2 linked regions of the Anolis sagrei genome follow. The protein of the gene in region 1 interacts with the protein of each later gene in a pairwise test. Links are inferred from orthologs where the notes say so. Each region holds a gene or a part of one and is shown in the gene's direction. Other genes may lie near its edges. The genes, in order: E3 ubiquitin-protein ligase RNF103 and ubiquitin-conjugating enzyme E2 E2.

What was found.
Region 2: the proteins of E3 ubiquitin-protein ligase RNF103 (region 1) and ubiquitin-conjugating enzyme E2 E2 interact in a two-hybrid assay, tested with the Homo sapiens proteins (2 studies listed by BioGRID). The link is inferred for Anolis sagrei from reciprocal best matches to the Homo sapiens genes RNF103 and UBE2E2.

What each region holds. Positions count from the first base shown.
Region 1 is NC_090026.1:52,480,777-52,497,689, reverse strand, and holds the start of E3 ubiquitin-protein ligase RNF103, read left to right. Parts: upstream 1-9,640; 5' UTR 9,641-9,765; intron 9,766-10,417; 5' UTR 10,418-10,466; coding exon 10,467-10,692; intron 10,693-16,913. UniProt on the Homo sapiens protein: Acts as an E2-dependent E3 ubiquitin-protein ligase, probably involved in the ER-associated protein degradation pathway.
Region 2 is NC_090026.1:86,086,227-86,103,081, reverse strand, and holds the start of ubiquitin-conjugating enzyme E2 E2, read left to right. Parts: upstream 1-8,221; 5' UTR 8,222-8,667; intron 8,668-16,855.

The sequences.
Region 1 (16,913 bases):
GTTTTGTATTCATTTTATTGTAATTGTATTATTGGCATGTGGACAATTTCAACAGAAAGGAGGAAACCATGAAAATGAACACAATCTGGCTACTAGTATTAAAAAACTCTAAAATTGAAACAGCACAACAACAGAGAGGAAGCAGGCAGGGACATCTAATTACCTCTCAACAAAAGTTTGCTCGAGGCACAGTCAGCCCATTGTATGCTAATCAAGGTGGTTAGTTGAAACATTCACACCTAGCTCCAGCAGACAAGTGTCCTTCGTCTCACCCTGGTCATTCCACACAGATATAAACCCCTTTTCCTAGTTCCAACAGACCTCACTACCTCTGATTTATTATTATTTATTTCGAGGTTTTATATACCAACCCTCTCACCTTCAAAGAGGGATTCGGACCGGTTCACAACATGTGTTAACATACAAAAAATATACAATAACAACACAATGCCACTTCATTACACGATTAAAATATCAGCACCATACACATTAAAACATTATCTGAGGATGCTTGCCATAGATGCAGGCGAAACGTCAGGAGAGAATGCCTCTAGACCATGGCCATGCAGCCCGAAAAAACCTACAACCCATTTTATTGTAATTGTATTATTGGGCTTGGCCTCATGTAAGCCGTCCCTTTGGGGAGATGGTGGCGGGGTATAAATAAATATTATTATTATTATTATTATACTGACACAAAAGCACAGTATGTCACAGCAAACGAGATCTATATGCTGGATTTCGTATCTCAAAATCACAAGTCGAACACTTTCCAAGCATCTAGGACTGTGTGATGTATTGCCGAATGATGCACGCAGATCCAAGTAAGGTGGCCTTTTGCAGTTGAAAGATCGTGATTTTGTCGATGTTAATTGTTTCCAAATGCCGTCTGAGATCTTTTGGCATGGCACCCAGTGCGCCAGTGACCACTGGGACCACCCGTACTGGTTTATGCCAGAGCCTTTGCAGTTCAATATTGAGGTCCTGATAACGGATGAGGTTTTCCTCAATGCAACTGTCACCTGGTATGGCCACATCAATAATCTAGAAGTCCAAAACACCCGGAGGGCAGAAGTTTGCCCATATCAGGGAAATCCCAAAGTGTAGGATAATTTCAGTTGGAAAGTCCTTTCAATGAACCCAAAAGTGGAGAACTGTGTGTGAATCTACACTTCAGTCTATTGTTCTACACTAGATAAACACATCTCTGCGTATTCAAGTCAGGCATTAACTCAGGCACCTAAGACTGGCCTCCAATTGGAGTCCCTCATTGCCTGCCCATTTCGGACTTTTTGCGTCAAGAGCTTTGACAGACAGTGTGGGAAAAAGGGGGGGGGGGGTGTTGTTTGTTTATATGTGAGGTCTAATGAGTAAACACAGGCTGGAAAGCGGAAGTGACTCCTCGGGGTCTTCCCGCCATTGGTTTAACTTCCGTCGCTTGCTGGCTAGCGATAGAAAAACAGCTTGTGGGCCTCACAATTGAAAAAGCGGATACTCGACCTCAACTTCTGATCTTCTCACATAGCCATATAACCCATAATATCAAGGCAGAAAATCCCACAATGTCTGTTTTGAACAAGGTTATCTGAGTCCACAGTACCATATAATCGAGTTCAATGTGGATTATATATAGGCCCAAATTTACACAAATAGAATCGGAAGAGATCTCATGAGCCATCCAGTCCAACCCCCTGCCAAGAAGCAGGAAAATTGCATTTAAATCACCCCTGACAGATGGCCATCCAGCCTCTGTTTAAAAGCTTCCAAAGAAGGAGCCTCCACCACACTCCAGGGCAGGGAGTTCCACTGCTAAACAGGTCTCACAGTTAAGATGTTCTTCCTAATGTTCAGATGGAATCTCCTTTCTTGTAGTTTGAAGCCATTGTCTGCATCCTAGTCTCCAAGGAAGTAGAAAACAAGCTTGCTCCCTCCTCCCTATGATTTCCTCTCACATTTTATTTATTTATCGTGTCATCAGCAACCATTGTATTACAATTCTAACAGAGCAAAACAAACACACAGATTAAAAAGAAAAAGGAAAAAGAAAAAGGAGAAAAAAAACCACACAGATTTTGCAAATTTGGTATTTGGTTAAATGTTCTTTGACCAGTATCTGGCCACTTGGAGTGCCTCTGGGGTTGCCGCAAGAAGGTCCTCCATTGTGCATGTGGCAGGGCACAGGGTGCATTGCAGCAGGTGGTCAGTGGTTTGTTCTTCTCCGCACTCACATGCCGAGGATTCCACCCTGTAGCCCCATTTCTGAAGGTTGGCTCTGCATCTCGTGGTGCCAGAGCACAGTCTGTTCAGCGCCTTCCAAGTCGCCCAGTCTTCTGTGTGTCCAGGGGGGAGTCTCTCATCTGGTATCACCCATGAATTGAGGTGCTGGGTTTAGGCCTGCCACTTTTGGACTCTCGCTTGCTGGGGTGTTCCAGCGAGTGTCTCTGTAGATCTAAGAAAACTATGTCTTGATTTAAGTCGTTGACGTGCTGGCTGATACCCAAACGGGATGAGCTGGAGATGTCTCTGCTTTGGTCCTTTCACTATTGGCTGCAACTTCCTGGCAGATGTCAGGTGGTGCAATACCGGCTAAACAGTGTAATTTCTTCAGTGGTGTGGGGCGCAGACACCCTGTGATAATGCAGCATGTCTCATTAAGAGCCACATCTACTGTTTTAGTGTGGTGAGATGTGTTCCACACTGGGCATGCGTACTCAGCAGCAGAGTAGCATAGCGCAAGGGCAGATGTCTTCACTGTGTCTGGTTGTGATCCCCAGGTTGTGCCAGTCAGCTTTCGTATGATGTTGTTTCTAGTGCCCACTTTTTGTTTGATGTTCAGGCAGCTCTTCTTGTAGGTCAGAGCACGGTCCAAAGTGACTCCCAGGTATTTGGATGTGTTGCAATGCTCCAGTGGGATTCCTTCCCAGGTAATCCTCAGAGCTCGGGATGCTTGTCTGTTCTTGAGGTGAAAGGCGCACGTCTGTGTTTTAGATGGGTTAGGGATCAGTTGGTTTCTCTCACATACATGGCTATCATGTCTTCTCTCAGCCTTCTCTTCAGGCTAAACATGCCCAGCTCTTTAAGCCACACCTCATAGGACTTGTTCTCCAGACCCTTGATCATTTTAGTCGCCCTCCTCTGGACACATTCCAGCTTGTCAATATCTCTCTTGAATTGTGGTGCCCAGAATTGCACACAGTATGCCAGATGTGGTCTAACCAAGACAGAATAGAGGGGTAGCATGACTTCCCTGGATCTCGACACTATACTATTGCAGGTCAAAATCCCATTGGCTTTTTCCCCGCCGCATCACATTGTTTGGAAATCTCTGTTTATGAACTCACGCACTCACTTCGTTCATCCGGAGAGGCCCCGCTCGTGATTCTGCCTGCGTTGCAGGTCCGTTTGGTGGGGACGTGAGACAGGGCCTTTTCTGTGGTGGCCCCCCGACTCTGGAATACCCTCCCCAAAGATCTTAGACAGGCCCCTACGTTGGCTTTCTTCAGAAAGAATTTGAAGACCTGGCTGTTCCGATGTGCCTTTCCAGAATAGGAAATCTCCAATACCAAGTCCCATAAGCACTTTATTAGAAATTAAGATTGCTGGCACACTGCATTTACCCTATAATCCTTACATATCACCTGCCACATCAGCACTTTTAATCTGTACCCATTACTCTGGCCCGGCCCAGTTTTATTGTGTCTTGGTGTATTGTTTATTGCTTGTTGTTTAATATTGCTTTAACTGTTTTTAATTTGCTTTAGGTTGTGTATTGTTATGTTGTGTTTTGAGGCCTTGGCCTTTGTAAGCCGCATCAGGTCTTTCGGGAGATGCTAGCGGGGTACAAATAAAGTTAATAATAACAATTTGGAAATAGAAGTTATTATCTTACAAATCATATATTTTTGACAATATACATGAATATACAGGCTTTTGTTCGTATTCGCTTCCTGATTGTTACCCCTGCATATCATGAATATTGACTGTCCTGCTGTTTTGAAAACCAGGCAGTACCACCTGTCCACTTCGGCTCCTTTTACACTGCCATATAATCCAGATTATCAAAGCAGATCATCTACATGATCTGCTTTCAACTGGATTATCTGAGTCTACACTGCGATAGAATCCAGTTCAAAGAATAGTCAAACGTAAAACACCCCCCAAACTCCCCTGGGCCATTAAAATAATTAAATTATCTCGCTGGGACTGCGGCAGGGACAAGCTGCAGCTGGCAAGAACCTTATTGAATAGTGCAATTTATGGAACAGCTCTTGGAATATGCTTTTGGACTGCGTGGTTTTTGATATAACATTTTTTCAAGATTATGTGTTTTAAATTACTGACTTTATATGTTTTATTTTATGTTAAAAGTGGCATCAAACCAGAGTATTTCCTACTGGGTATTTTAGATGTTGACTGAGACAGAAATAAAGAGGTGCTATTTAGTTATTTAACATCAGCAGCTAAAATAGTCTATGCTCGATATTGGAGGATAAAAGAAACCCCTAGTTTAAAAGAATGGTTAACCAAAATGATAGAAGTTAGAAACATAGACAGCTTGACACAACAACTTAGATGTAATCAAAATAAAACAACAGCAGCTTGGAGAAGAAAAAAATTAAATTTGGATATAAATGCTATGGGGAGAAGAGTACTCACCCCCACAACTTCGGAAGAAGAGGATGTAGTGTATAAGAAGAGCGGAAAGGAGAGGGTATATCCCAGAAATTAGAAGATAGGGAGCTAAAATCCTTTCACCCTTTCCCTTTTTTCCTGGACCCCATCTTTCTACTTCTTTCTTTTTTCAATCACCCCTTTCTCCTTGACTCCCCCCTTATACTCCCCCTCCATTTCCCTTCTTACCCTATTACTTTTTCCACCTCAATCCCTCCTGATACCCCCCTTTTTATTTTATGTAATTGAATAAAAAGATTGTTTTAAGTGGCATCAAATTGTGCCTTTGTTGTAAACCGCCCTGAGTCCCCTGCAGGATTGAGAAGGATGGGATATAAATTAAGTACATAAATAATATATTCCTGTTTTGCCCAGCGGTAGCTATTCTCTCGCTGGGACTGCGGCAGGATGCTTTTTGAAACAATCTTTTCCTCTTTGGTAGTTATATTGCTCCCTAACCCCTAATAAACATGCATCCTAGTGCGTTATCCTCTACTTTTGCTTCTTTGTATCTTTTTTTGCGTCCCGAGTCTTCTTCCTTTTGCCTTCCACAGCCAGCTCTGGTGGCCAAAGAGCCATGGGGCCCACGTGGCCCCAAGACGACCTCGCCCCCCGTTAAGGGGCTTGTTCTCTCTCTTTTTCCCATATTGACCACCCTTATGTCTCCCTGAACGACTCTACCAGCCCCCGCCCCCATGGATCTTTATTCTGTACATGTTTAATGTATATATTTTATATCCTTATATGAAACTTCTTTTTTGGAAAAGTATGCCACCGACCAAGACCTTTTGGTGATCTTTCGTCAGCACTTCATGACACAGGAACTCCTTCCAGCAGTTTTCCTGGGCACCATCGCATCAAATAAAGGACTCAATCACCCTCGGGGCCAGTCCACCTCTACTGGCCCCATAAATCCAGCTGTGCAGAAGGCAACAGGAATCCGGAGTTTAGGCCACCTGTCCTTTGTGCAGCTACTTGGACATTACAAAGACATCTATCCCCTGGCATGACCATCCCAACAATTAGAAAGTCATGCACCATTTTCCCAGGCCTGGATTCTTAATCCCATCACTTTGGACAATACTCTGCAGGAGAAACAATGGACATGGGCACTGTGGGTGCCAGACACACCTTATTGGGTCACTCATATTCACAAAAGACTTTCACAAAATTCATGGGACTTGATAGCCCCTCTTTTTTCTGTCCCTTGGTGCGACAATGGTGATTAATTCAAAGTACTTGACAATCCTTTGTCTCCCAAACCTGTCTGCCCTCCCCCCCCCCCCCAGCCATTGGATAGTGGGAATCTGTATTGGAAGCAGGGAATGCTCTCCAATTGGCTGGTTAGCGCTGCAGTCCTGCCTCATCAGGGAATCCCACCCAGCTGATTGTGACATCAGTGGGCCTCTGCCAATCACAGTGAAGCTGATTCCAGCTGGGGCAGGTGCCGGAAATTAAAAGGTTTTCTGTCTATAAAAATGTATGTTTGACATTGCAGTGGTATTCAGCTTGGTAAACTACCGCGAATTAGCATCCACTTCAGCTGACTTGAATAAAAAACCTTGGTGGCTTCTTCAACTTGGTGAGATTTCTTTATTAGGAACATTGATTTAGCTTCTTCATTTTGCCAGGTGAACAGACCTACAGGGCAGCGCACTGCCGGTACTGGTAACTGCTGATCAGGACTTGGTATCCACGCTTCAGGTTTCGCTCTCAATGGCTCAGATCTCACTATCTATGGTTGCTTTAAATTGCTGTATTTCAAAAGCAGATAATCTAGATTTTATATGGCAGTATAGAAGAGGCCAAATTGTGCAAACTACTTTTGCACTTTGAATAGGTTTGCACCAGTTGAAATAAGCTGAAGGAAAAGCAACAAAGTGGAAGAAGTTGAAACTTGGGATTGATTGACACTTAAGAATTAATGCAGTTTGAAACTACTTTAATTGGCTCAATGCTATGAAATCCTGTGAGTTGTACATTTTATAGACAGCTGTATAAAATCCCACATTATCTGCTTTGAACTGGATTATATGGCAGAGTGGATTTAGACAGGCCCTATATCCAGGATCTGATCCCGGGTTTTTTGCTTTAAATTAGATTATATGAGCCTGCTCTGCCAGATAGTCTGGGATAAACAGAAAATCTGGAATCAGATCTTGAGATATAGGACCTCTCTGGAAGGGCCCACACACACAGCCATATCACCCAGAATTATCAAGGCAAGTAATCCTGCCTTTGAACTGGGTTGAATCCACCTTGGTGTTTAATCTAGTTCTATGTGGATTTTATACAGCTGCGTGGAAGGGACTCCAGCTCAAAGAAGATATTGTAGATTATCTGCCTTGATGTTCTGAGTTATATGGCTGTGTGGAAGGGCCCATAGTTTTGCGAGGCAGCAGCACTATTTCATAGAGAAGGCTAAAGACCTTGTAAAACTATAATACCCTGTAGACTGACATTTTTTAAAGTAGCTTAAAAAGTGGGGACGGATTCAAGTATGCTTTTATCCCAGGAGCATCCACGTTTAATAAACGTGGATGTCCCTAGGAGGCTGTCTACACCCACTCCAGAAAGCACGTGCTTTCTGTGGTGGGTGTCCAGTTGTTGTTCTGGGACTTCCCAATACAACATTGGGACACTAACCCCCCCCCCCTCCCTGGAAGCCAAATGACGCACCAGGAGAAAGGAGGGGTGCGCAAAGAAAATCGCTCCTCCACTCTTTCTCCTGGCGCGTCATTTGTACGCACCAGGAGAACTCTGGCAGCCGTTCTAGGGAGGCCGGGTGAGTTCTTTTCTTTTTTTCTGAGTTTAGGGGGCTTTGGTCTGCTGGACCGGCCACAGGGAGGCAGCGCTGATGGAATAATTCCAGGGGTTGCATGTGATGTCTATAGACAGTTCATATCTCGCAGGCATATAGCAGGGTTGGGAGGACAACAGCATTATAATCAAACAAGTCTCCCTACAGATGTCCCAGTCCTCAAACACCCTCTGCTTTATTCGGAAAAAAGCTGCACTCGCAGAGCTCAGGCAGTGTTGTATTTCAGTGTCAATGTTGACTTTTGTGGAGAGGTGGCTGCCAAGGTAGCAGAAATTATCAACATTTTCTAATGTTACACCATTAAGCTGCATTTCTGGCATTGGAGTAGGATTTATTTATTTATTTATAATTCAAATTTATATGCCGCCACTTCCCTGGGGCTTGGAGCGGCTTACAAGAACAGTCTAAAATCTAACACAATTTAAAAACAATTTAAAACAATATAAAACAATTTAAAAACAACAATATCAGAGATCAAAGGCCTGTCGAAACAGATATGTCTTACATGCCCTGCGGAAAGCTGATTGGTCCCACAAGGCACAGACTTCAGGTGGCAGAGTATTCCAGAGCGATGGTGCCACTGCTGTAAAGGCTCTGCGTCTGGTTGCTGTTAGACGCAAGGTCTTGACACTGGGAATTTCCAATAGATCTTGGTCCTCAGAACGGAGGGATCTCTGGGGTTGGTAGGGGGTGAGGCGGTCCCTCAGGTACATCGGCCCCAGACCATGCAAGGCCTTAAAGATGAGTACCATCACTTTGAAAGTGATCCGGTGCTCAATTGGTAACCAATGCAGCTGTAGTAAGATTGGTGTTATGTGGCATCTCATCGGAATTCCCGCAAGAAGCCGAGCAGCTGCATTTTGTACCAACTTGAGCTTCCGGATCACCGATAGAGGAAGGCCGATGTAGAGGGCATTACAGTAGTCCAGTCTTGAGATGACCGTAGCCTGGATCACCATAGCTAGGTCGTCCCTGGACAGGTAGGGGGCCAGCCGTCTAGCCTGCCGCAGATAAAAAAAGGCGGTTCTGCTAACGGCGGAGACCTGGGCCTCCATTGTCAGCAGAGGGTCCAAAAGGACTCCCAGACTCTTTACCAATGATGACAGACGTAGTGCCTCACCATCCAGGTTTTTTTTTTTTGTCCAGTCGGGAGCAACCGCTCCTGTTGTGAGAGAATTGGCCGTCTGCAAGGATGTTGCCCAGGGGATGCCTGGATGATTTTTTGATGTTTTATCATCCTCGTGGGAGGCTTCTCTCATGTCCCCGCATAAGGAGCTGGAGCTAATAGAGGGAGCTCATCCGCCTCTCCCTGGATTCGAACCTGCGACCTGTCCGTCTTCAGTCCTGTCAGCACAGTGCTTTAACCCACTGCACCACCGGGGGCTCCATCCATCCAGGGTAGGCAGCTGGATGTCCCCACTGCCCGGTTGACCCAGCCATAGGATCTCCGTCTTTGCTGGATTCACCCACAACCTGCTGACACGCAGCCATCCAGTAACGGCCTCGAGGCACTGATGAAAATAATCGGGTACAGAGTCTGGTCTGCCCTCCATCCTCAGCACCAGCTGAGTGTCATCAGCATACTGGTAACACTCCAGCCCAAAACCTCAAACCAGCTGAGCAAGTGGTCGCATATAAATGTTAAACAACAGAGGGGAGAGATTGGCTGGTGACTGCAGGAAGAGCGCTTTGGTTTTCTTGATGTTCAATGACAGACCAAGATTCTGCGAAGGTGTTTAGAGTGGCTTGTAGGTCTTCTTCTGAATGCACACAGATGATGTTGTCATCAGCATATTGGAGTTCTATAACAGATGTTGTTGTAACCTTGGTTTTGGCTTTCAGTATGCTGAGGTTAAATAGTTTGCCATCTGTCCAATAAAGTGCAAGATAAAGTGCAAGAGTAGTAGTAGTTCTATGTAGTAGGAATGAAGTTTGACGCCAATCTTGACTGTCATGACTCAACGCTAGAGAACCCTGGGCTTTGTAGTTTGCTAAGGTGCCAACACTTCTTGGCAGGGAAAGCTCAAGGCGTAGGAGAACTAGATCTCCTAGGATTCCCTAGCATTGAGCCAGGGCAGTCCAAGGAGTATCACAAACTGCATTCATTCAGCCTTCTCTGGCTCCTCCCCCTTTCCCTCCCTCTTCGCTCAATGGAAGGGGCGGGGCTTCAAGGAAGGAGGCAGAGTTGCCGGAAGCGCGTCCGAAGGCAGCCAGGCAACTCGAGAGAGGCGGCGGCCTGCGGCCTGAGAAGACTTTGGAAGATGAGGGAATAGGTAGGCTAACGAAAACCTGAGGGGGAGTGAGTCCCTTTTCTGGGAATGGGAATTCTGGGAATGGGAGTCCCCAGAAAAAGGACTCCCCCCCTCAGTCTCTAGACAAAACTCTTCAGTGAGAAGGGAGTGCGGCCTTCCCTTTTTTTACCCCTCACGCCTTTTCCTGAGGCTGCGGCCTTGCTTTTCCCCTCTCTCTCCCCCCTCCCCTCTCTGCTTGTCGCCGGCGATAGACGTCACTTGTTGTGTCTCCTTCGACTGGGGCTCTGCGACGACGAAGGCGACGAGTCTCTGGTCTCTCTCTCTCTCTTCAAGAGCCTTCCTTTCCCTCAGGGTTTTCCCCTTTTCCAACCTCTCCTCCTCCTTCAATGACAGCCCCCCTCTTCTTTCAGGGTCCACACCTTGCCTCCCACTTTCATCCCGCTACTAGAGTTCTCTCTCCTTTCTCATTCGTTTGGCAATGCCCAAGAGAGGAATTTACTCGCATTTTTGTGCCTGCCCACACCCCCAGTGGGTCTGAAATGTCCCCTAGCCTTTTCTCCTTAGTTTTCCCTATTAGGATCTTTTAAAAGAGACCCTGGGCGTTGTTATGAATCCTTTCCACTTTTTGTCTCCTCCATCTCCATCGGGACATTTCTCTCTGTCTCTTTTGTAGGATTGATTGACTCTCCCCAGAGAGTCAAGAGAGAAACCCTCCAGCCAAGATGTGGCTCAAGCTGTTTTTCTTGCTGCTGTATTTTTTGGTCCTCTTCATCCTGGCCAGGTTTTTTGAGGCCATTGTGTGGTACGAGACGGGCTTCTTTGCCACGCAGTTGGTGGACCCCGTGGCCCTGAGCTTCAAGAAGCTGAAGACCATCCTGGAGTGCCGGGGGCTTGGCTATTCTGGGCTTCTGGAGAAGAAGGATGTCAGGGAACTGGTCGAGAAGTCAGGTAAGGAAATATCCATTTGTCAGCATTCTGCTCGTGTTCTCTCCTCCCCCACCTTTTATTGTTTATTTGCATTGCTGATTCCTTCTCTTGGCCCTTATACATTACCATATAAAATCCAGATTATCTGCTTTGAACTGGATTATATGGCAGTATAGACTCAGGACCCTTCCATACAGCCATATAGCCACGGCCATATATTCCAGTTCAAAGCAGATAATGTGGGATTTTATTCAGCTGTGTGGAAGGGGCCTCATATAATCCAGTTCAAAGCAGATAATAGTGATCCTCTACTTTGATAATCCGGACTTTTTGGCAGTTGGACCTTAGAGCCTCTGTTAGGTTTTCCTTTTGGTTCAAGAAATTAGTTGCAAGTAGGTTTATTATGCTGTTGCTTGGACTTAGCATAATGCTTGCATATTTTGAGCAGAGACTAAAATGAAAGTTCGCAATAATGAAGATAAGTCACAGTCATGATCCATGTAAGGTTTAGAACAAATGACACATTTCATTTTATAATTCTTAGTGGGACATCTCCGGAAACATTAGAATTAGATGATATGTCATACTCTTTGACACATTTTTAGACATACATCATTTTGCGACACAGTAATTCAGTTTTTCAGCAAACTGAAGGTTAAACCAACCTCTAACAAGAGGCATGGATACATACATAAATTGTAGTAACAAAAAGTATGGGGATACAACATGTCTCATGAAAACTTTTATGTATATATATTTAAATATATGATTTGTAAGATAATAATATCTATGTCAAAGATTTTTGCCATTTAGAAATAAAACTCTAAATAAGAGTCTCATTCTCCGGAGGTTTTTAAGCAGAGGCTGGATGGCCATTTGTCATAAGTACTTTGATTGTTTTTTTTCCTGCATGACAGGTAGTTGGACTGGCCTTTATTGAGTCGCCTAATCTAGGCTGAAAAATGCGGTATAAAAATAAAGCAAATAAATAAATAAATTTATGGTCTCTGCGAACTCTATGATTCTACTATTCTATGATTAATAACATTGCTAATACTAATCAACACCTTTCCTGCATAAATGTGTATGCAAGTTAGTATCACTTATTTCACACAGACTCAGAGATTTCTTGTTTCATTCGTGCGACACCTACACACTGCAACCAATACACTAATGTCTCGCGACACTCAGTTTGGAGAGCTCTCCTATAAAATGTTAGTGCACTTGGCTAAAAGAGCAGAAGAATCCTGAAATGCATCAGGCATGGCGTACCATTTTGAAATAAGTAAGCTCTGTATGTGAGTAGGTGGTAAGGCTATTAAGTCCAGTGTGTAAAACTACTTAACTGTAGCAGAATATGCACAAATGCTTTTATCACATAATATCAAGTACTTGAAGAAAGCTCAGTAGGGAGTAATGCTAGATTAAGATTCCTAGTAATAGCAGGAATGAGCTCAAAGGTTGAAATGCACCCAGATTCTTCATGGAGAATTGCTGGAATATGACTGACATTCTTCACAGCAGTACAGAAAAAACAAATTCCATGTGCAAATGAAAATGATCAAGGAGTATGACAACATCATCTGGTGCTATCTGAACAGCACCAGGAAAAATTATAAAATAGAATTGCCACCTGTTCTAAACCTTAAATTGATTATTACTGTGACTTATCTTCATTATTGCCTACTTTGATTTTGGTTTCTGCTCAGAAAATGTAACCATTATGCTAAGCCTAAGTAGTAGCATTATAAGACTACTTGCAGTCTAATTCCTTGCACGTTTACTTGCAATTTACAGTAGATCCTGTTGACCTCCATATAAGTAAGTGTTCACACTGTTGATCTTTTTCAGTGCAGACTTCAGCATATTTGCACAGAAGTGGGTCTTGCTCAGTAGTAAGATAAGTCATCTCAATATAACATACTGTTCAGTACAATTAGGAAATGGAAGCATTTTCAGAGAAATTATATGTAACAGTTTCCTTGGTTGTTAAGATTTGTTTGCAAAGTGAGGTGTGTCAGAGGTGTAGTTGTTTAAACATCTTTTTGAAATCCTCTTCTAAGCATACTTTCAAACTGACTGTGAACACTTAGGTGTAATAAATCGATGCCCACAAATGCAATAAATAATAGTTTGGTCATGTAAATGTTTGCCTACCAACAGTAATAGTCAGATGAGATAAATTAATATGACTGAGTAATGACTTCATGTCCATAGATGCACTGAGCTGTTAAAAAAGCATGCAAGTACATAACGATTCTCTGTCTGTTCATATAATAATTCCTTAAAACTTGAATTGTGTAAATAGCAATCCTGGCTCTCAGCCCCTGCATACATCTTGGGTGGCTTAATCATTTTATTATGAACATAGGGAAGTGCCTTATAATGAACCAGGCCATTGGTCTGCCTTTCACACTAGGATTGCCACTTTCTAGAAAGTCAGAGAATTGGAAATTGGTCAGGGGGACTGTTCAAAAGACAGGGAAACACAAAGAAGTTGAGACTACGATATACTTGTGTAACAGATTTTTGAAGTGCTCCTTCAAGAGTCTGCACTTGTGGCAGTTAGAGTAGAAAAGAGTAGAATATGATGTACAGGTTCACACATTCCATAATATGGCTGTAGAATCTTGAAAATCAGTATTTTCAAATTCATATAGTCATACTATGGTTGTTAACAGTGACAGAACATAGTAAATTCTTCACATTTGCGGTTTTAACTTCTGAGGTTTACTTGTGGATTTGATTAATATGTTATCAATTTGTGCACAGAATGGCTCTGGAGGACATAGAGATTCCCAGAGAGATGTTCTTCGGGTTTTTAAAAATTCCTTTTTTAAAAAATATGTAGTTTTCATGGAGGTTAAGAGCACAAGACCGCCCACAAAAGCTGAATGCCTCATGTCAGATGATCCTCTGCATGATAGTATTGTTTGTTATGAAAAAATGGATGGCTCCATGCCACTGAATAATTTGAACAGTTAAACAAACTGGAATCAATTTAGTTGATTTGAGGATGCAAATGTTGTGATAGATGTGAGCAAACTAGTTGTCTGGACTTAAAGGCTAAACTCTGTTTCTTCTTGGCAACTCTAAAATCTAGTCTTATCCCAATACTATTATGTGGTCAACAATAAAATGTGATTGGTTTTGGAAATTAGTTTTAAATGAAATTTTAAACTTAAATTTTATATTTGTATGTTAATAAAAATAAAGATTCCTCACACTCTTAAGTTTTGTTCTTGCTTAGTTATTGCTTATTTTGAAATTTCCTTTTTGATCTAAAATTTAGTACAATTTAAAAATAGATGTTTCTTTAACTGCCAGTTAGTGTTCAAAGCAGCTCATGTTTTATCTCCTGTCTTGAAACTGAATCACAGTACTGACAGATGATAAGTTTAACAGCCTACCTGTTCCAGAAATGAATCTTAGGACTAAATTCAACATTATGTTTTTTGTTTTCAGTGAAACTTTCTTGGGCATATCTACACTAATAATATAATTAATGCGCTTCACTGAGACCTAAATCTAAACCACATAGCATGACAAAAACAGCTCTGCAGATTGTGAAGCTCTTTATAGACATCCACCCTTACTGGAGCACATTTTAAAATTCTGGGAACTTCAAAAACACCCCAGAGCTATAGCTAGGCAGCAAGGAGATAATTGACCCCCTTGGACAGGTAATTGATTACCTTCACTCTTAAATGTCACACATCTGGCATTCTCACCTTCTCAACTGGAAATGAAGAGAGGCGGGGGATACATTTTCCAATGGGATACATTCTCCAATGGGATACTGCAGATTCTGGAAGTGATTTGAGGCCACCTTCTGTGGTTAATGTAATCACCTCCTTGGCCTCAAACTTATTACAGATTTGTCAGTCTAATCATTAGCACAGAAAAAAAACAGTTTTTCTCAAATCAGTTCCAAAGCAACCTATATTAGGTGGTTAGTATAGATGTGCTCCCCCTCCTCTCCCACCTGCCACTCTATACTCCCCAAAAACCTGCTCTGGCAGGTTTTCTAGCCAATACTACAAGAGCTATCTCCTTGAATTTTCTATACAATGACACAAGATAACAGGGGATCATCCCCCCCCCCCCCCCCCAATTTTAAGAAATACTCATACATCTACTAATTTTAGGGATTTAAAAAAAGTTTTGACAAAAATGTTTGGGGTCACAACAGCCATCTCATTGAATGTCTTTCATATTAACCAATTCCATTTAGAGATTTCTTCCCAGCTTAGCACAAAGATTTACTTATTAGAAATGTTGGTTAGTCCTTCTCTTTGAAGATTCAACAATTTCTTGAACTCTGGCTGGCTGCTGCTATGAAGGGAAATACCTCTCTCCTCTCCTGATCGGGGCTTTCTGATGCTGAGCAGAATTCTGGGAAATGTAGTTTAAGGCAGAGCCTTGTGCATTCTCTGACATAGGGCTCCTCACCTTCCCAAACTATATTTCCCAGAATTCTGTGCTTCCTTAGTCTCTTTCCCAGCAAACTCTGCTTTCTCCCTGCCCTGCTGCTTACCTTGCCTAATGGCAAGAGGCTACTAATTTTAAAAGGAATTGCAGCTTTTTTGGGTTTGCTTCCTTGTTCTGAAAATGAAACTGACTTTAGGAAGCTTCCAAGATTTACAAAATTCAAACAAAAAAAGTATTGGATAAGTTTCAGTTCTTAAGTTTTTCACACGGGCTATGCCCGCATGTTGGATATCACATTGCAAGTAAAAATTTAACAAATTTAATGTGACTTACAACGACTAATGAAAAAAATGCTCATCCCTAATAGGCATGCACTGGCAGTTCCTTTAAGATCTGCTGAATACCCTGGAAAATGGTGATATAGAGCATTAGTGTTAATCTACTGAGTTGTAGGCAAGTCCATACAAGAATTCTGAAATGGAACTAATTTCGGAATTAGAGGATCAAATGCAAAATAGCTCCCTTTGTGGAACTTGTTAAGCTGTGAAGTGGGTTCAGGGAGTAAGTCAGAGAATGAGTGATATAATTTAAATAAAACAGGAAAGTCTAGTGTGTAAAATAACCGAGAGACAATTTACACATAATTAAATTTAACCTAAAACTAAATTTAGCAGAAAAGGCACTAAAGTGTTGGGTACCTGGAATATATAAACTTAGATTTAAAGGTGTGCCATTAAACTTAGTGGAATATGTATTTTCAGTCAAACGTTGGATTAGTGGATAAATATGTGGATTGAAATAGAAGATATGTGGATTGAAATAGAAGAGTCACATTTTTATTTTTATGGAAAATATCATATTTACTCGAGACTAATGCACCATCAAATCTAATTCGCAATTCAATTTTCAAAACCCTGAAACCAGGCCCGTAGCCAGGATTTTGATTGGGGGGGAGGGGGAGCTGAGTTTGATTCGGGGGGGGGGGGCAGAGTCTGATTGAAAGAGGGTCTATCCTAGCAAACCTTTTGTATCGTTACCCCAATACCCCCATGCATATGGGATATATTGAGCATGGTGATCAGATCATGATATGAATAAACATAAAAGTTTAAATAATGTACCAGTAAGGCCTTCTCGCGGACCACCATGCGAATTTCGGGGGGGGGGGGATGAAGCCCCTCAATCCCCCCCCCCCCCCCCGGCTACATGCCTGCCTGAAACTAAAACAAAATTTGCTGCTGAATATAATGCACAGCGGCAAAAATTGCACTCTTTGTAATTTGGCCAAAAAGGTACATTGCCGTTGCGACGTGCTTAGAATTGCTTCTTTAAAAACAAATATGTTCGAGCACGAAAGCTTCCTGCAATGAAAAATAAAAACTTGGGGTGCATGTATGCTGTAGAATGAATCCACTTTAACTGCTCTGGGTCAGTGGTATGAAATCATGTGGTTTTACAAGTTCTTGAGCTTTCTCTGCCAAATAATGCTGATGACTCACCAAACTACAAATCCCAGGATTACATAGCATTGAGCTGTGGCCATTAAAAGTGAGGTGACATCCCTTAAATAGGAGTTCCAGGTGCTTCTGAAGCAGCTTCCCCATTTGCTTTGGCTCAGCATTAAGATTACTATTATGTATTATGTGACTAATGTTCACCCTAATTTTGGTGAGGCAATTTAGCCTTTAAAAGGTGAGCATTAGATTTGAGTAAATAGGATATAGCCCTATTTCTGATGCTGTGTCTTCCTGCCGGTGTCTTCTTTAGCAGCAATAACCACCAAGGAGCACTATAACTCACCAAAAGCTTAA
Region 2 (16,855 bases), about 34 Mb from region 1:
CTTTTGCTGGGGGCATTCCTAACTCTGCCCTTACTGCCGCCTTCAGTGTTGTTCTGGAAAGACCCAGAAGGGAGCAAAGCTGCTTAGCTTGGAAGGCTTCAATCTTAGCCAAATTGATGTGACCCCAAATTTCAGCCCCAAATATAAGTGTTGGCACTTTTGTCTTAAAGACTTCCAGTGCAGATCTGATTGTGCCTGGGTAAGTTTCCTATAGTGTGTTTGTACCTTGCCCCATAATTCCCTTGGGAACCACATGGGATCACACAATAAAGCAGAGTTCACTTGGAAACAAACAACCACAAACAACCAGATATTGAACTGCAACCCTAAGCAGCCACAATCATTATAGTCTATTATAGTCAAAGTTACAGCTTCAACAATATCTGTAGAGCTCCAGGATTCTGATCTGCAATGCAGGCTGTATTAACCTGTAGTTACTTTAGATCAAGGTGATAATGGTTTGCAAAGTACTGCCAAGATTCCTTCACATTTTAATTTAGTTACCGAAAAGATTTATTCAACAGATGCTCAGTAACCCTTTATTAAAAAAAAAAACCCTCCTTGGTTCTCTACCAGTACCACACATAATCTGTCTTATTTCTTGTGAAACTACTTCCTTTTCTCTGAAGCACATTGTTATCATAGGTTAATATGCCACTAGTACAAACTTTACGGAAAGACAAAACACATATAAGCAATGTATTTTAACCTGGAGCTTTGAATGTATTGCTTAAGTCAAAAGAAAATAAATACAAATGAGAACATGTGTTTGTCTAAGGATTTTATGCTCTCCTTGTGCTCAGACGGTGGAAAATTTTGAAGTGCCATATTGAATTAGGAATTTAGTAGTTGTTAATCTGAAGACAAATTATCCTGGAATCACCTTCTGCAATTATTTTACTTGGCTATAATCTCTTTAAACTAGCACATAAAGACAAGCTTTCATTCCTGACACTAAGCAATGATTTATTTTCTGAGAGCTTTGTGGAAGTCAGAGACAAGTTATTCATTTTTCCATCTGCAATATATTTTGTATCACTTAGGATGTGGCATATTTCTACAACACTTAAGATGGCTGATTTCACATTGTTATTTAAAAGTAACACCCCCTCCACATTGGTGATTACATTCAAATGGTACTTAGGTGAAAATGCTTCCCATAAAAGAGAGGAGAGGAGATGCAACCAAGGATGCTTCAAAAGAAAACTGAGGAAGATAAATACGGAGACATTGTATGTTCTTCTTACTTTTGCATTTTCTGATAATGAACACTTTTGATTTATGTTGTCAAGAAGTATAATCAAGTGGTTCAGTACTTTAAACAAATAATGAAATCAAATGCACAAGTTCTTTCTATCCTGGAAAATTATTGAAATCCATGATGAGCCCCTGGTGACGCAATGGGTTAAACCCTTGTGCTGGCAGGATTGCTGACCGAAAGGTCAGCGGTTTGAATCCGGGGAGTGGGGTGAGTTCCCATCTGTCAGAGTGGGGACATGAGAGAAGCCTCCCATAAAGTGGTAAAACATCTGGGCATTCCCTGGGAAATGACCTTGCAGATGGCCAATTCTCTCACACCAGAAGCAACTTACAGTTTCTCAAGTCGCTCCTGACATGAAAACAAAAATCAATTAATATTTTCTTGGGGATTTTCCCAATGTAAATGAGATACCAATTACAAAAGAAAAAAAATGCAAGGTATCATATATCCAAAACTATTATCTCACAACTTTACTTGCAGCAATGCCAATTTACATGTAAACTGAATAGAAACCATGAATTCAGACGCATGAGAGACTTCGGCTCAGTGGTTTAACATATCAGTATCTTGTGGCAGTTTTCAGGACTAAAATTAAATCAAGAGAAAGTGAAGAACATTTGAAATTTTTAGGGAAGTTAAGAACATACTTCAAGGGTGGGTCAAGGTGTTCACTATTTTCAAATCAAGGATTACCAGCAAAGCAACTGTCACATCTCCATTGTCAACTGAAGGCTCTGTCTTCTAAATACTTTATTTTCTGTAAAATAGCAACCTGTCCAACAATGTTTTTAAGACCAGGAACACTACTTAGTTAAAGACATGCTAGAAAATGGTTGTTGCCCTACTATATTATTAACAGTTTAAAATGAATCTCGCTGCCTGCAGCATTTGAAATGCCAGATTCTGTATACAGCATTTTTGTGCGGATGTGGATTTATTGAGAAGTATGTGCATGGCAGACATTATTTTTTTCTATCCTGGATTTACTACTATAAAGTGCCCTGAGGAGAAATTGATTCTAAGACGTGTTAAGTGGGTACCTCTGAAATGCAGAAGTGGAAATAGTGATATAACAATTTAGCATTCATGCAATATTGTTTGACAATTACACTTCTATAACAAGTTTGTATCCCCATACAGGTTGAGAACTCTTATACAGAATTCCAAAATTCAAATCTGTATATATTGATGGCCCCCTTATGGTGAGGGGCTAATCCTACTGTTCAAAGGACATTCCTCTAGTTCAGCAGTTCTCAAAGTGTGCTTTGCAAAGCCCTTAGGGGGTCAGTGAAGCACAGTCAGTGAATCACACTGCAGGTCCTCCTGCTCCCCACTGCCTAGGAAGCACGTGGCCTATGGAGTCCCATTGGGGTTATTATTATTATTTCAAAGGCTGGATGGTCATCTGTTGGGGGTGCTTTGATTGTTCTTTTCCTGCATGGCAGATGGGGGTTGGACTGAATGGCCTCTGGGGTCTTTCACTGAAATACTGTTAAGTTTGTGTTGATTAAAATTGTTCTTGATTTGATATATTGTATTGTTCAGTTCTTGTGGGGTTTTTCGGGCTATATGGCCATGTTCTAGAGGCATTTCTCCTGACGTTTTGCCTGCATCTATGGCAAGCATCCTCAGAGGTGAGGTCTGTGACATGGCCATATAGCCCGAAAAAACCCACAAGAACTGAGTGATTCCAGCCATGAAAGCCTTCGACAATATATTGTATTGTTCTTTCTTTCTTTTGCACTACAAACAATTGTAGTGCAAATGGAATGATATGCATTTAGAACAGGAGTCTTGGCTTTACTGACCTATAGTTAAAATGGATAGCAGAAAGAGGGTTCAAAGGCGACAATAATATACATCTATTTAAATGATAGTCACTATGTCTAAACTTGGATCTAGATAGAAAAAGAAGCATGTATATATTTTATTCAGTTTCTTATGTCCTGGTTGATGCATTTCCTCTTGTTTTACAATGTAAGTGTTGTGAAGCTATCATACCCAATATTTTAATACTTAATACACTAAATAAATAAAACCTGTCTATCTTAATGGAAAGATTATTACCTAAAGTGTAGGCAGTAATCTTTCCATTAAGATGGACAGCTTGTATTTCTTTAGTTGGGATTTGACTTGATGTATAATGTGCATTGGCAGAGGGCATGCATGTGAACACAGAGTTCATGCAATGACCACAGATGTCAGAGAATGCTGTAATTTTCAGTAAAGTCTGATAAATATATTTTGATTTTACAATAATGTATTACATGACATTGATTGTTGAACATTCTGCATGAACACACACAATTATATGTATTGATTTGGAGTTTCTTTTTCAGGCTTTCTTAAACTCAGTACATGTTAAGAGCAGAAGTGTTTTAGATTTTGGAAAGTGTGTATTTGCACATAAACACAAAATGAAATAATTTGGAGATTTTTTTTATCGTGTCAGGAGCAACTTGAGAAACTGAAAGTCGCTTCTGGTATGAGAGAATTCGCTGTCTGCAAGGACGTTGCCCAGGGGATGCTCAAATGATTTTGATGTTTTAGGGAACGTCCGGATGATTTTGATGTTTTTATCATGCTTGTGGCAGGCTTCTCTCATGTCCCCGCATGAGGAGCTGGAGCTGATAGTGGGAGCTCATCTGCCTTTCCCCGGATTTGAACCTGTGACCTCTCGGTCTTCAGTCCTGCCAGCACTGGGGTTTAACCCACTGCGCCACCAGGAGATTTGGAGATGGGACGCAAACGTAAACAAAAAAAAAATCACTTATATTGCATATACACCTATGCACATAGTCTAAAGGGATGACACCAACTTTGAACCATTAGAAACTAAAGGTACTGCTGTATGGCACACACATAGACAATTTTGGATATTGAGGTATTTTGGAATTCCAGGTAAGGGATGGTTCTCTGCTTTAAGTAGTAGTTTTTGTGTTCTTCCTCCCCATTAGTGCTATGTTGTAATAACATATCCACACCCTTTTGACAACATTCAGATGTTTGTGAAGAAGTTTTTAACATGGGAAAAACTGGAAGGTATGTTATAATGAGAGTCAGCATGTTACAGTCCTTTGAGTGTCGGGACACTGGGAGACCAGAGTTTGAATCCCCATTTGGCCATGGAAACCACTGTGACTTCGAGCAGGGTACACTCTTTCAACTACAGAGAAAGGCAAGGGTAAACCCCTTCTGAACAAATTCTGCCTTTTTATAAGTTTGTCTTAGTGTCACTGTAAGTTTGAAATGACCTGAAGGCATTGTAATACTATTGACAATATTATACTGATGAAATTACAGAGTCAAATAGTGCAGGATTCTGCTGAACATTCTTCCTAATCTAGAAGTCCATGCAACTTAGGAAAGAGAGTCATGATGGAAGAATTTTATTAGAATTTTATCTTATAACATAAGATAGAAAGCTTCCTGTTCCTAATTTTGAGTAAATCTTTTTTGATCCTCAATAAGCTATACATACTTTTTAAAAAATTACTGATATACTGTGTATACCTATGCATAAGTCTAGAAATTTTAGAACAACATTCATCCCAAAAATATGGATCGACTTATCCACTGGTTAATGCGAGTACTATAGTTTAACTCCAATCAAAAAAATGAGCTATACCCTTATCTGAGTAGAATGGCAAAAAGTGAGAGTTGAGGCTTTCTAGGAGAACCTAAAGGAAGAAACTAAATATATCATCTGCTCTTACTGTGGACTTTAAGACACAGTGACCTTTCATAAGGTCAGAGAGAAGTTTAAAGAATATGCAACTCTTTAAACGTAGATTTAATGCTCACAGGTTTTGTTCAATAGATATTTATCTCAACCCTAGATTCTGACAGATGCTTATGTTTGTTCTTTGCTTCTAAAACACATGCTCATTGCAGTTTGGAAGTAAAAACCCAGATGTTTCAGACATGATGCTTTATTTTCAGATAATCCCTAGGCAAAACATATCTGTTTTTGATTGTCACATTTGCACACCATTTTTAGAATAGCTCCAGTGTCTCACTTCCAGTTCTACCTGTTCCCAGTCAAAAATTCTTCATATGCAGTCTAAACCATGATGATCTTTTCTTCCCTTTTCACTCCACTCCCATCATATTATCAGTTTAATCAGAATGGAGACTACTGAGAACATCTTCACATGACGGGAGATAAAACATCCATACCAATTGATAGGACGGAGCAAATTAGAAGTATATATGAAGATACTGTCTCTGTTCTGTCCAATTAATCTTTTATTTCATACTGCTTCTCCTCTCCTTCCAACCCCCCTTTCTCAAGTTAAGCACCAATGAATCAGAGTATATGGTACCAACTAGCTTCCTGATAAAAAATGGGATTTTGCTAGATGACTGGGGTATGCATTGTGACACAAAGAAATATAACTTTCTGCACTTCAAACAGCAAACTACAGAAAACAGTTGCTGTTCCAATCAGGACAAAAAGAGGTCAGTGTATCAAATTTGCAAGAAATAGCTGCCAATTCCTCCAATTGTTAATCTGCCACTCCATTATGAGGCATTCAAAGATAAGGAGCGAGTCTAAGATACTTGTATCAAACTGTGTTGGTGATGAAGTAGAGCAAGCACACTCACTTTCCCTCTCTTTTACAGTATAAGGAGGTTTGGGGCTTGCTTGCTTGCTTGCTTACCCTAGAGCCAGGCCCGTAGTCAGGATTTTGTTTCGCGGGGGGGGGGGGGGGGGGGGGGAGAGCTGAGTTTGATTCGGGGTGGGGGGGGGAGGGCTGAGTCTGAGTGAAAGGGTCTACCCTAGCAAACCTTTTGTATCGTTACCCCAATACCCCCATGTACATGGGATATATTGAGCATGGTGATCAGATCATGATATGAATAACATAACAGTTTAAATAATGTACCAGTAAGGCCTTCTCGCGGACCACCATGACCCCCCCCCCCCCCCAGCTATATGCCTGCCTAGAGCCAAGACAAGGCCTACATAATGCAGCTGGGTACAATCCCCACTTCTCAGACAGGACTCAAAAGGAAAGTGGAAGTTATTATTGTCCAAATGTGTGAAACATTGTTTATACTTATGCACACTCTTAGTGGCCCAGTCTAACCCCCCCCCCCCCAAAAAAATCCCCATTTTATTCAGGAAAGGAAAAGTCAGCTTAAGTGGCTGAGAGTGAAAAGGAAAAGGCCTGAGGCTGTTAGGAATTGTGAGAGTTAAAGTCCAAAATACCTGGAGGGCCCAAGTTTGCCCTTGCCAGGCTTAGCGGCACTTGAGGTGCACTTTACATAATTTTACTCCAAAAATGGTAACCCAAATCTGCTGGCACTTTGAAGGCCCTCGTGCTCTGCCCTCAATCTTTCTCCGGGCTCCATTCTTCCTCCACAAAGAGGATGTTTGGACCCCTCGAACTTCGAAGCAGTTGAGTAAACAGTATACTCTTTTGAGGTGGAAGAGAAGGCCCCTCACCTGAAGGGAACTGACCCCTGTCCTAATATGGGGTGACCCTGTCAAAAGGCCACCTCAGGCGACCTTCCCTGCCATTAGGCCCCCTTTTGCGTCTGTCAGTCTATCAGTCAGTCAGTCAGAGCCTCCTCAGGCTTTGGGCCGCCACACCCCTCACATCTTGAGTGCAGCTCTCTCTCAAGTGAGAGCCAGTGTCCTCTTAGGGAAGAGAAGCTGATGAGGAAACACAACATACAAACTATCGACAGACCCACCAAGAAAATCCAACAAATGCTACATTCAGCAAAGGACAAGAGGGATCCTCTTACTTCTGCAGGAGTCTACCGTATACCATGCAGCTGTGGACAACTCTACATAGGGACCACCAAACGCAGCATTGCCCAAACACGAATCAAGGAACATGAAAGGCACTGCAGACTACTTCAACCAGAGAAGTCAGCCATAGCAGAGCACCTAATGAACCAACCTGGACAGAGCATATTATTTGAGAACACAGAAATGCTGGACCACTCTAATAATAATAATAAACCTTTATTTATACCCCGCTAACATCTCCCGAAGGACTCGGTGCGGCTTACAAGAGGCCGAGGCCAAATACAACAGTAAAACAGTAGCACAACAAATACAACAATAAATAAACTCATAGAGCAAAGCAATAAACATTAAGCAATAGCAATAAACATTAAACAATAACACCACAACACAGTTAAAATCTAAGGCTGGGCCAAATGTAATGATTAAAAATTTAAAATATGCTGGACATGATCAAGTGAAATGGATAGGTTTTTGGAGATAGGTGCGGTATGCAATTAATCTAGTAAAGTGCATTTGGGACATGATGCATGGAGTTTCCTACTCTGGGAAGGCACACTGGAACAACCACGTCTTCAAGCTCTTCCTAAAGACCACCATGTCGGACTACACAGAGAAGCCATTGAAATCCACAAGCATGTGGACAATTTCAACAGAAAGGAGGAAACCATGAAAATGAACAAAATCTGGCTACCAGTATTTTAAAAAAACTCTAAAATTACAACAGCAAAACAACAGAGGGAAAACAATCAGGGATATCTAATCACCTCTCAACAAAAGACTGCTCCAGGCACTGTCCGGCCATCAAATGCTAATCAAGGTGGTCAGTTGAAACATTCACACCTAGCTCCAGCAAACAAGAGTTCTTTGTCCACAGAGATATAAACCCATTTTCCTAGTTCCAACAGACCTCACTACCTCTGAGGATGCTTGCCATAGATGCAGGCGAAACGTCAGGAGAGAATGCCTCTAGAACATGGCCCGAAAAAACCCACAACAACCCAGTGTCCTCTTTTCTTCCCTCTCGGCCCCGCCTTCTCTGTCCTTCCGAGCGTGGCCCCGCCCCCGCGCTAGCCCCGCCCCTTTCCCCCCTCCCTCCCGCCTCCCTTCTAACTCGAGATACGGACTCCGCCCCCTCCCTCCGCTGGCCCCGCCCCCTTTCCCTTTCCTCACACACCTCACTCAGCCTCCTCCTTTTAACTCGCCCCCCTCCTTCCCTCCCTCCCTCCCTGGCGGCGGCACGCGGCCTCGCTTCCCTACGGGCCACGCGCAGGCGCGCTCTCGCCGCCGCCCCCTCCTCGCCGTTCTCCTCAGCCTCTCGAACTCTTGGCTTAATTGGCCCAGTCGGGAGCGCGCTGCCTCTCCGCGCGGCGGGTTTACTTTTCCTCAGGCGGCGGTGGAAGAGGAGAAGAAGAAGGAGGAGAAGGGGGAGAGAGGAAGGAGAAGCAGCAGCAGCTGGAGAAGAAGTCACCGTCGTCGAGCGGGGGAGGGAGGGAGGAAGAGGGGGTGGGCGCACATGCCTCAGTGACCGGCCGCGGAGAGGAGCTGCCCCCTCCCCCGCCCTCGCCGCCTGAAGGACTGACACGAAGCTGGAGAGCGCCCACCCGCCTCCCTCCCTCTCTCTCCCTCTCTGCCTCCCCCACAGGTAATAACCCCCCCTTCCTCATGAAAGTATCCCCCTATTTTAGAAACCCAAAAGCCCCGCCTCTCGCAGCCAGAAGGACTGACCGCCCCCTCCTCCCTCCCTCCCTCCCTCCCTCTCTTCACCCCTCCTCCCCTTCATCCTGCTTTATTGCCCACGAGGTAAAAATCCCCTCATGATGCCCCCCCCCCAAATCCTCCTTCACTTGGGGGGCGTCCTTTCAAGGAAAACCAACCCTAAAGCCCCTCAGTCTCTAGTTAATCCTCTCCACTATTCATCTGTTTAGCAGGACTGGCCGAATAGTTCCCTTAAGCCCCCTTCCTTCGTCTCCAGCCCCCCCCTTTCCTCAGCCCCCCCCCCTTTTTGTGTCTTAACCATTCAATTTCTCCCACAGACGACATCAATTCCTACAGACTACATGGCCTCTAATCGCCAATTGCCCTCCTCAAGGCCCCCTTTCAATACTCAGCACTCCTAGGCCTTCTGTACACACTGAAGTGTGTGTGTGTGTTTAATATTGAAAATAATCCAGATTAGTATTTGCTTTGAACATAGAAATTCTCCTCTGTCTGGGAAAGGCAACCCCGAATTAGATATTGCTTGCCTTCTAAATTTTGCCAAGATTACACTGATTCCAACCTCAGTCACTAACCCAATTTTGCCCCCTTTCTGTACAGTTAGGGATGCTCCCAAGCCTTCTGCATAAGCAAAAGTGTGTGTGTACTTTTTACCCACATTAATATTTTCTCCAAACATAGAAATGTTCCTCTTTCTGGGAAAGGCAACCCTGTATTAAATATTCCTTGCCTTCTAAATTTTATCAAGATTACACTGATTCCAACCTCGGTCACAAACCCCATTTTGTGCACTTTTTACCCACATTAATATTTGCTTTGAACATAGAAATGCTCCTCTGTGTGGGAGAGGCAACCCTGTATTGAATATTCCTTGCCTTCTAAACTCAATTATTTCAAGATTACACTGATTCCAACCCACTGCTGTCTTAAACCCCATTTTGCCCCCTTTCTGTACAGTTAGGGATGCTCCCAGGCCTTCTGCATAGGCAAAAGTGTTTGTGCACTTTTTACCCACATTACTATTTGCTTTGAACATAGAAATGCTCCTCTGTCTGGGAAAGGCAACCCCGTATTAGATATTCCTTGCCTTCTAAATTTTGTCAAGATTACACTGATTCCAACCTCGGTCACGAACCCCATTTTGCCCCCTTTCTGTACAGTTAGGGATGCTCCCAGGCCTTCTGCATAGGCAAAAGTGTGTGTGCACTTTTTCCACACATTAATATTTGCTTTGAATATAGAAATGCTCCTCTGTCTGGGAAAGGCAATCCTGTATTGAATATTCCTTGCCTTCTAAACTCAATTATTTCAAGATTACACTGATTCCAACCCACTGCGGTCTTGAACCCCATTTTGCCCGCTTTCTGTCCTTGACAGTTAGGGATGCTCCCAGGCCTTCTGCATAGGCAAAAGTGTGTGTGTACTCAGACCTCACAACCTCTGAGGATGCCTGCCATATATGCAGGTGAAATATCAGGAGAGAATGCTTCTGGAACATGGCCATACAGCCTGGAAAACTCACAACAACCCCATGTGTGTACTTTTTACCCACATTAGTATTTGCTCTGAACATAGATATGCTTCTCTGCACGGGAAAGGTAACCTCGTATTAAATATTCTTTGCCTTCTAAATTCAATTCTTTAAAAATTACACTGATTCCAACTTGAATCTCTTTTGCCCGCTTTCTGTACTTGGCAGTTAGGGACGCTCCCAGGCCTTCTGCACATGCATAAGTGTGTGTGTACATTTTATCCACATTAGTATTTGCTTTGAACATAAAAATGCTCCTTTGACTGGGAAAGGCAACCTGTATTAAATATTAATTGCCTTCTAAATTCTTTCAAGATTACACTAATTCTAACCGTGGTCACGAACCCCGTTTTGCCTCCTTTCTGTACTCAGCAATTAGGGATGCTCCCATGAAAAAATGTGTGTGTACTGGGTTGCTGTGAATTTTCTGGGCTGTATGGCCATGTTCCAGAAGTATTCTTTCCTGACGTTTTGCCCACATCCATGGCAGGCATCCTCAGATTGTGAGATATATTGTATGTAATTTTTACCCACATTAGTATTTGCTTTGAACACAGGGCAAAGGCTCCTTCTTTGGAGTTTTTAAAGGAGAAGCTGGATGACCATCTGTCAGGGGTGCTTTGAATACAATTTTCCTGCTTCTTGGCAGGGGGTTGGACTTTATGGCCCACGAGGTCTCTTCCAACTTTATGATTCTATGAAATACAATGGTTCCTTTGTCCAGGAAAGGCAACCCTATACAGGCAGTCCCCAAGTTACGCACAAGATGGGTTCTTAAGTTGGATTTGTTTGTAAGTTGGAACAGGTACTTTTATAAGTGTACCTCTGGCATGCACACACATACATATGGTATTTGTTTTGCTGTCTGTCATCCAGGTCAGAAGATTCCACCTCACTTTTTGTTCCTGTAATAATTGGATTTATTTAAAAAATGTGGAAACAAGGATTGGTGATAAAGCTTCAGTAGATAACTGTTCTAGGAGTGGATTTCCCTTTCTGGAGGTTCTCCCACTTCCTGCTGTTGTGAGTTTGCCAGACTGTATGGCCGTGTTCCAGAAGTATTCTCTCCTGACATTTTACCCACATCTATGACAGGCATCCGCAGAGGTTGTGAGGTTTGTTGGAAACTAGGCAAGTGAGGTTTATATATCTGTGGAATCTCCAGGGTGGGAGAAAGAACTCTTGTCTGCTTGAGGCAAGTGTGAATGTTGCAGTTGGCCAGCTTGCACCTTCAAAGGCTGGCTGAGTGCTGCCTAGTGGGATCTTTTGTTGCGAGGTGTTAGCCGGCCCTGATTGATTCTTGTCTGGAATTCCTCTGTTTGCTGAGAGCTGCTAAAACTTCCTATGCCCTTTTAAAATAGTTTTTGCAACAGGATCATAGCCCTTACTGCTATTGCCTTTCTCCAAAGGATAGGATTGCAGCCAATTTTGCAATAGTCCCATTTATTCAGATATGACTCTTTCCATTCTAGGTCGTTAATGTCACAGATGCAAGGCAATAGGGCCACTTCTAAACTCACTATTCATGCCCAAAGTTCTTAATTCTTTAAACCTGTGCTGCTCAAAGCTGTGTCCGTGGATTGCTGCCAGTTCATGAGCCATCAGCTGCTGGTCTCTGGAGGGCTTCCAGGAAAGAAAAAAAAAGTAGTTGTTGAATGGGCACAAATATGGTACTGGGCTTAGTACATTGGGGTTTTAAATTGCTGGTCCCCACATCAGACAGATTAAGAAGCAATGTTCTAAACCATTTTTTGTCCACATAGTTGCCTTTAGTCCATTTATTTCTCAGCTCCCTAAAATGACCTGAAATACTTTATTCTTATACACAGTTGTTCTCCTCACTGAATATATTACTTTCTGAATATATTACTTTCTGAACAGAAGCACTTCAACCCTGAATCTGAGGTAGCATGGTACACTGCTGTTTGACACCACTTTAATTGCCATGGCTCAATGCTGTGGGATCTTGGTATTTACAGTTTGAGGAGATACCAGCACTCTTTTGCAGTGAAGGCTGAAGTCCTTGTAAAACTACAACTCCCATGATTCCATAGCATTAGACCATAGCAGTTAAAACAGTGTCCAATTGCATCAATTCTCCAATGTTGATCAGGGGTGTCAAACTCATTTTCACCGAGGGCCACATCATCCTTATGGTTGCCTTCAAAGGGCTGTTTGTAATTGTAAAACTGTATAAATGTAACTATGTTGCCTTGGCATTGAAAGCCTCATGGGCTACATAAAATGAGAGGACGGGCTAGATTTGGCCTGCAGGCATGTTTGAGGCATGTGGTGTAGATGAACCATGAGTCTCATGTTGATTCTTTTCAATATAGCAAATACTGAAGTGTGACTTTCCATATGGGGTTGGTCTCAGTCTCTTGGAATTCTTTATTATTAGCTATACTGGCCAAGTTACTTAGAGATGTGCTAGAGCAACATCTGGAGGCTGTAGTTTTCCCACCCTTACAAGATTTCCATCATTCAGTGGAGGAAAAGAGCCTTTATTAGACTAATAGCACATTCCCCTGCATAAGTACTCAATGGAAAGTTGCGAATACATGGCAATATATAGTATTTTTGTAGTCTTGGGACTACTTTTCATTTGACCAGTTTTTCTGTATGAATATAATTTCCTCAGAATTACATGACAAGTCTCATATAACTGAGACAATATGTGCAAACACATGACAAAAACAGTTCTCCCATACAAGATTTTCATGCCATCCCATGTGGGAAAATTGACCACTCATTTATTGTGGTTGACAAGTGTATATTAGACTCACATAACTGTTCACATAAAAGTGATATTGATGTGAGAAATTCATCTTGTGGAAATTCATCAGCATTTGATTCTCACTTCCTTAGAGAATCCCAGATGATAAACTACCAGTAGCCAAACCACTAAAATCCCCATTATGTCTGAGTTATTCATACAGGTTCATTGCATGCTACTCTCCTTATATATCTTTTCATAATAACAAGCAGATTTCCTGTAACTTCTTCATTGTAACATACCACCATTCCCTTGAGCTGTTGTATTATTACCACTTTTCCTGTTTCTGTTGTTTGTCCTACTAGTTCATTGTTGAAACATATTTCTTTTAGAATAATGCCTATATGTGACTACAGTAGCACACAGAGTGGGGAATCACTCAACCTAGAGTTGCTCTGAAAATACCAAAGGTTTTGGTGCTGTCACTGTCCTGCTTGCATTTATCTTCTTTGTCTTTGTCCTTTTACATGCCAGTAATCCCTTCAATGTGTCCATGTGCAGTAAATCCACTTTTACTTCCCTAGTCAGTGAGATAAGTTCTTTATTGAGAAATAATACCAGTTCCTCTCTCTTATGATTGCTTGGAGTCCTGAAATTGGGGAATATGACAACTTCCCATTTTTCTCCTATTGAAAACCCATATCAATTTGATATGTGGGAGAATAGGCCATAGGCTTTTGTGAAATAGTATCTCATGTTGGGGAATTTCTGACTTCCCCTCAATTTCAGTTCCTGGTTTCCTTCTGGACTGCTCTTAATATGCATCCCATATCTGCTTGAAGCCTTCCTTTCAATTTTACTTCCAATCTTAACCCTTTCACTGTCTACTTCTCCCTGGTTTCATTTTCTCTCCTAGCTTCATCCCTTTCAATGCCTCGGTTTCTCTTGTTTTTTCCTTTCCAAGGGAAGTGCCTGAGAAAATGTTACATTTTTAAAAAGTGACCATTTTAGCCTCCTTCCATTTTCAGTTCTGCATAATTATGTCTGTGACATGTGGCTTCCCACCCCTCTGGGGAAATTGAAAAATAGGCGACTTGTATATACGCTGTGTCTGCATCAGTCCAGCACATCTGCTTCTCTTCTCCACCCCCATCACAATCTCTGGCCTAGTTGGTTATAAACCAGCATCCCACCCCCCCACCCCCAATCCAATGGCGCGATCCTTTCACCACGATTGGTTTCTAATGAAGGTGATGATGATCATAAAATTTACCTGTCTCTCAAGACATGAAGTGGGGTACAACATAGTTAAAATACATAGATAAAAACATAAGATCATTAAAACACATATATTATCAGGAATAGATCTAAGATTCAAACACTTCAAAATCATTCATATCAACAATATATACATTTTAAACCCATAGTTTAAAACTGACAGGGTAAGCCTGCTGGAAGTGATGGGTCTTTAATTCTGTTTTAAATTCTGACAGTCAGGAAGTGCTTGCTGCTACTCGTCATAGATCCAGAAAAAAGTTCAATTTATATTTGTTTATAGGAGATTAACAGTTACTTTATAAAACATTTCTGTCTTTTCTAGTTGTTTTTTTACTAGAGTTTTGTGTATTCTTTTAGAAGTAGTGGAAGGGCAGAGAAGGAAAAATGTGAGGTTGTGAAGTGGTTCTGTGTATTTGTATTTAAAAGTTGTAGAGAGCCCATATAGTTTTGCGGCCACATTCTGCTTCATTATATTGTGTTCTTGGAAAGACTTTAACCTCTTTGACCCTTCTGTGGTCCCATCTTTTTCTTTTAGCAGACACATAAAAGCCTTTTTCAGATGTGGAATAATTTAATAGAAAACGGATTTAGGCAGTGTCCCTTAAAAACACACACACATTCATTGCACCATGACATAACCTTGAGGCGACTTGATTGTGTGTGGTATTAATAACTGCAATAAAACATTTTGCTACAGTCTCACACTCCTCTGTTGATTTTAAGTTTGTTTGTTGTTTTATTTATTCTCTCTTGGCATAGAAAAGGTTGAACTTCACAGGGTAAAGATGTTTTTGTTCCAGTTATATTTTGTTGTCAGCTTCTTCAAATAAAAAGTGACTTGAATGTTAGTTTACTGCTTATTGGGTGTAGAACAGAATCCTCTGTGTTTGTGTGTGTATTTGGGGACAGGTATGAAGAAATAGACACCAAATAGCAGATTTAAACATGTATGTATTGTCATGATCTGACAAAATAATGGTATCTTTTGCAGATCTGTCCTTTCCTATTTATCTGATTAAATTAATCTGAGCGTCTAAAACAAAATATAGTTATTTATGAAAGTAGTGATGATTATAGTTGCAACAATAAAGTGCAAACATGTGCTTGAGATTTTCTTAAGTGTTACGTTGAAGTGCCTTATCATTAGAAGAAAAATATGTGTATACTTTGGTCTCGTTCATCTCTTCGGCAACTTTGTATGCCTCTATTATTTATTTATTTTTGCAAAGAGTTAGAATATAAATTAAACTATATTTCAAATTATGTTATTTATCAATAGTTTACAAAAATGAATGGCCAAGTGGGAACAGAAAACTCCCTGCCATTGGCTTGCCACCTGATTGAAGAATGGTTGATCAAATCTGTCTATATATTTTATATGAGGAAACAAAAATTCAGAAGGAAAAAATCTATACTTGACCCACACATTTCCTTAAAAGGCATTTATTTACTCTCATGTAGGATGGAATAATTTAATGTTTTCTTCCATAAATGGTCCAATGATATATGTTGGAAAATAATATATAATAATATATTGTAGTGGATCCAGTTTTTTACCTGTTGACTTAACATTTCCCTGTCTCTTTATTTTGAGAAAAAAACAATTACTCAGATTTATCCTTTGTAAGCCCTTAAATATTTTGAGTTAAAAAACATTACTACTGTTTATTATTCTTAAGCAAATGGTTGAAAGTTTTGTTTGACCTCTGTCCCCAACTTTTCATCATTTTTATCCTAGTGTTCTACATTCTCTATCTGTTTAGGCTATTCAGCGCAAATTCTAGGGTAACTTGAACATATCCCATGTCATTTCAGGGAAGAACAACTATAGTAGCTAGGCCTTAATTGGACCATTTGGTCCTTAGAGGCAGCAATCTGATAAAACAACCTAGTTGTAATCACCCATTTCATGATCTGGAAATCCCACTGGTGCCTTGAACTATGCTTACCCTGAAGATAGTGATGACAGCTATGGTATTAGTGGGTTACAGTTAAGGAACCTGCCCAGAGGAGCAGGATTATCATCTTTTACATTATTTGTTTACTTGATTGTTTGATTTCCTGTACTTCTCTTAATTCATCAGAATCCCCAGTATAGTTAATAGTTAAAACACACACAAATACCACAGCTATTCATATACAGTAGATCCTCTACTTAAGAGTGGCACAACTTAAAAGCATTTTGAGTCAGAGGGAGCACTAGCGCCAGAGGGAGCGCTAGCGCCAGAGTACAGAGCTTTAGGGCTCATGTCTGCTTTGGGAGATTGCTTTCTGCTTTGCTCTTGTCCACTTTGGTAGATTGCTGTCTGTTTTGAGGAACTTTGTGTTTATTTTGACATGTTTATTGACATGTTTATTTTGTCTGGTTTTTATTCCTGGTGTGTTTGGCTTCCTGAAGAGAGAGAGAGAGCAAGAGAGGGAGGCTGGAATGAGTACAATATGATGAAAATGATGCTTCTGCCTCTTCCTTTCGTGCTTCCTTGCCACGACTTTGTGCTTCTACCATTTTAAAGTTACTATTAGTCATTTTCACCTGATGCCAAGGATGCCATTCTGACCCTGAACCTGTGCTTGTCGGCTATGATGGGC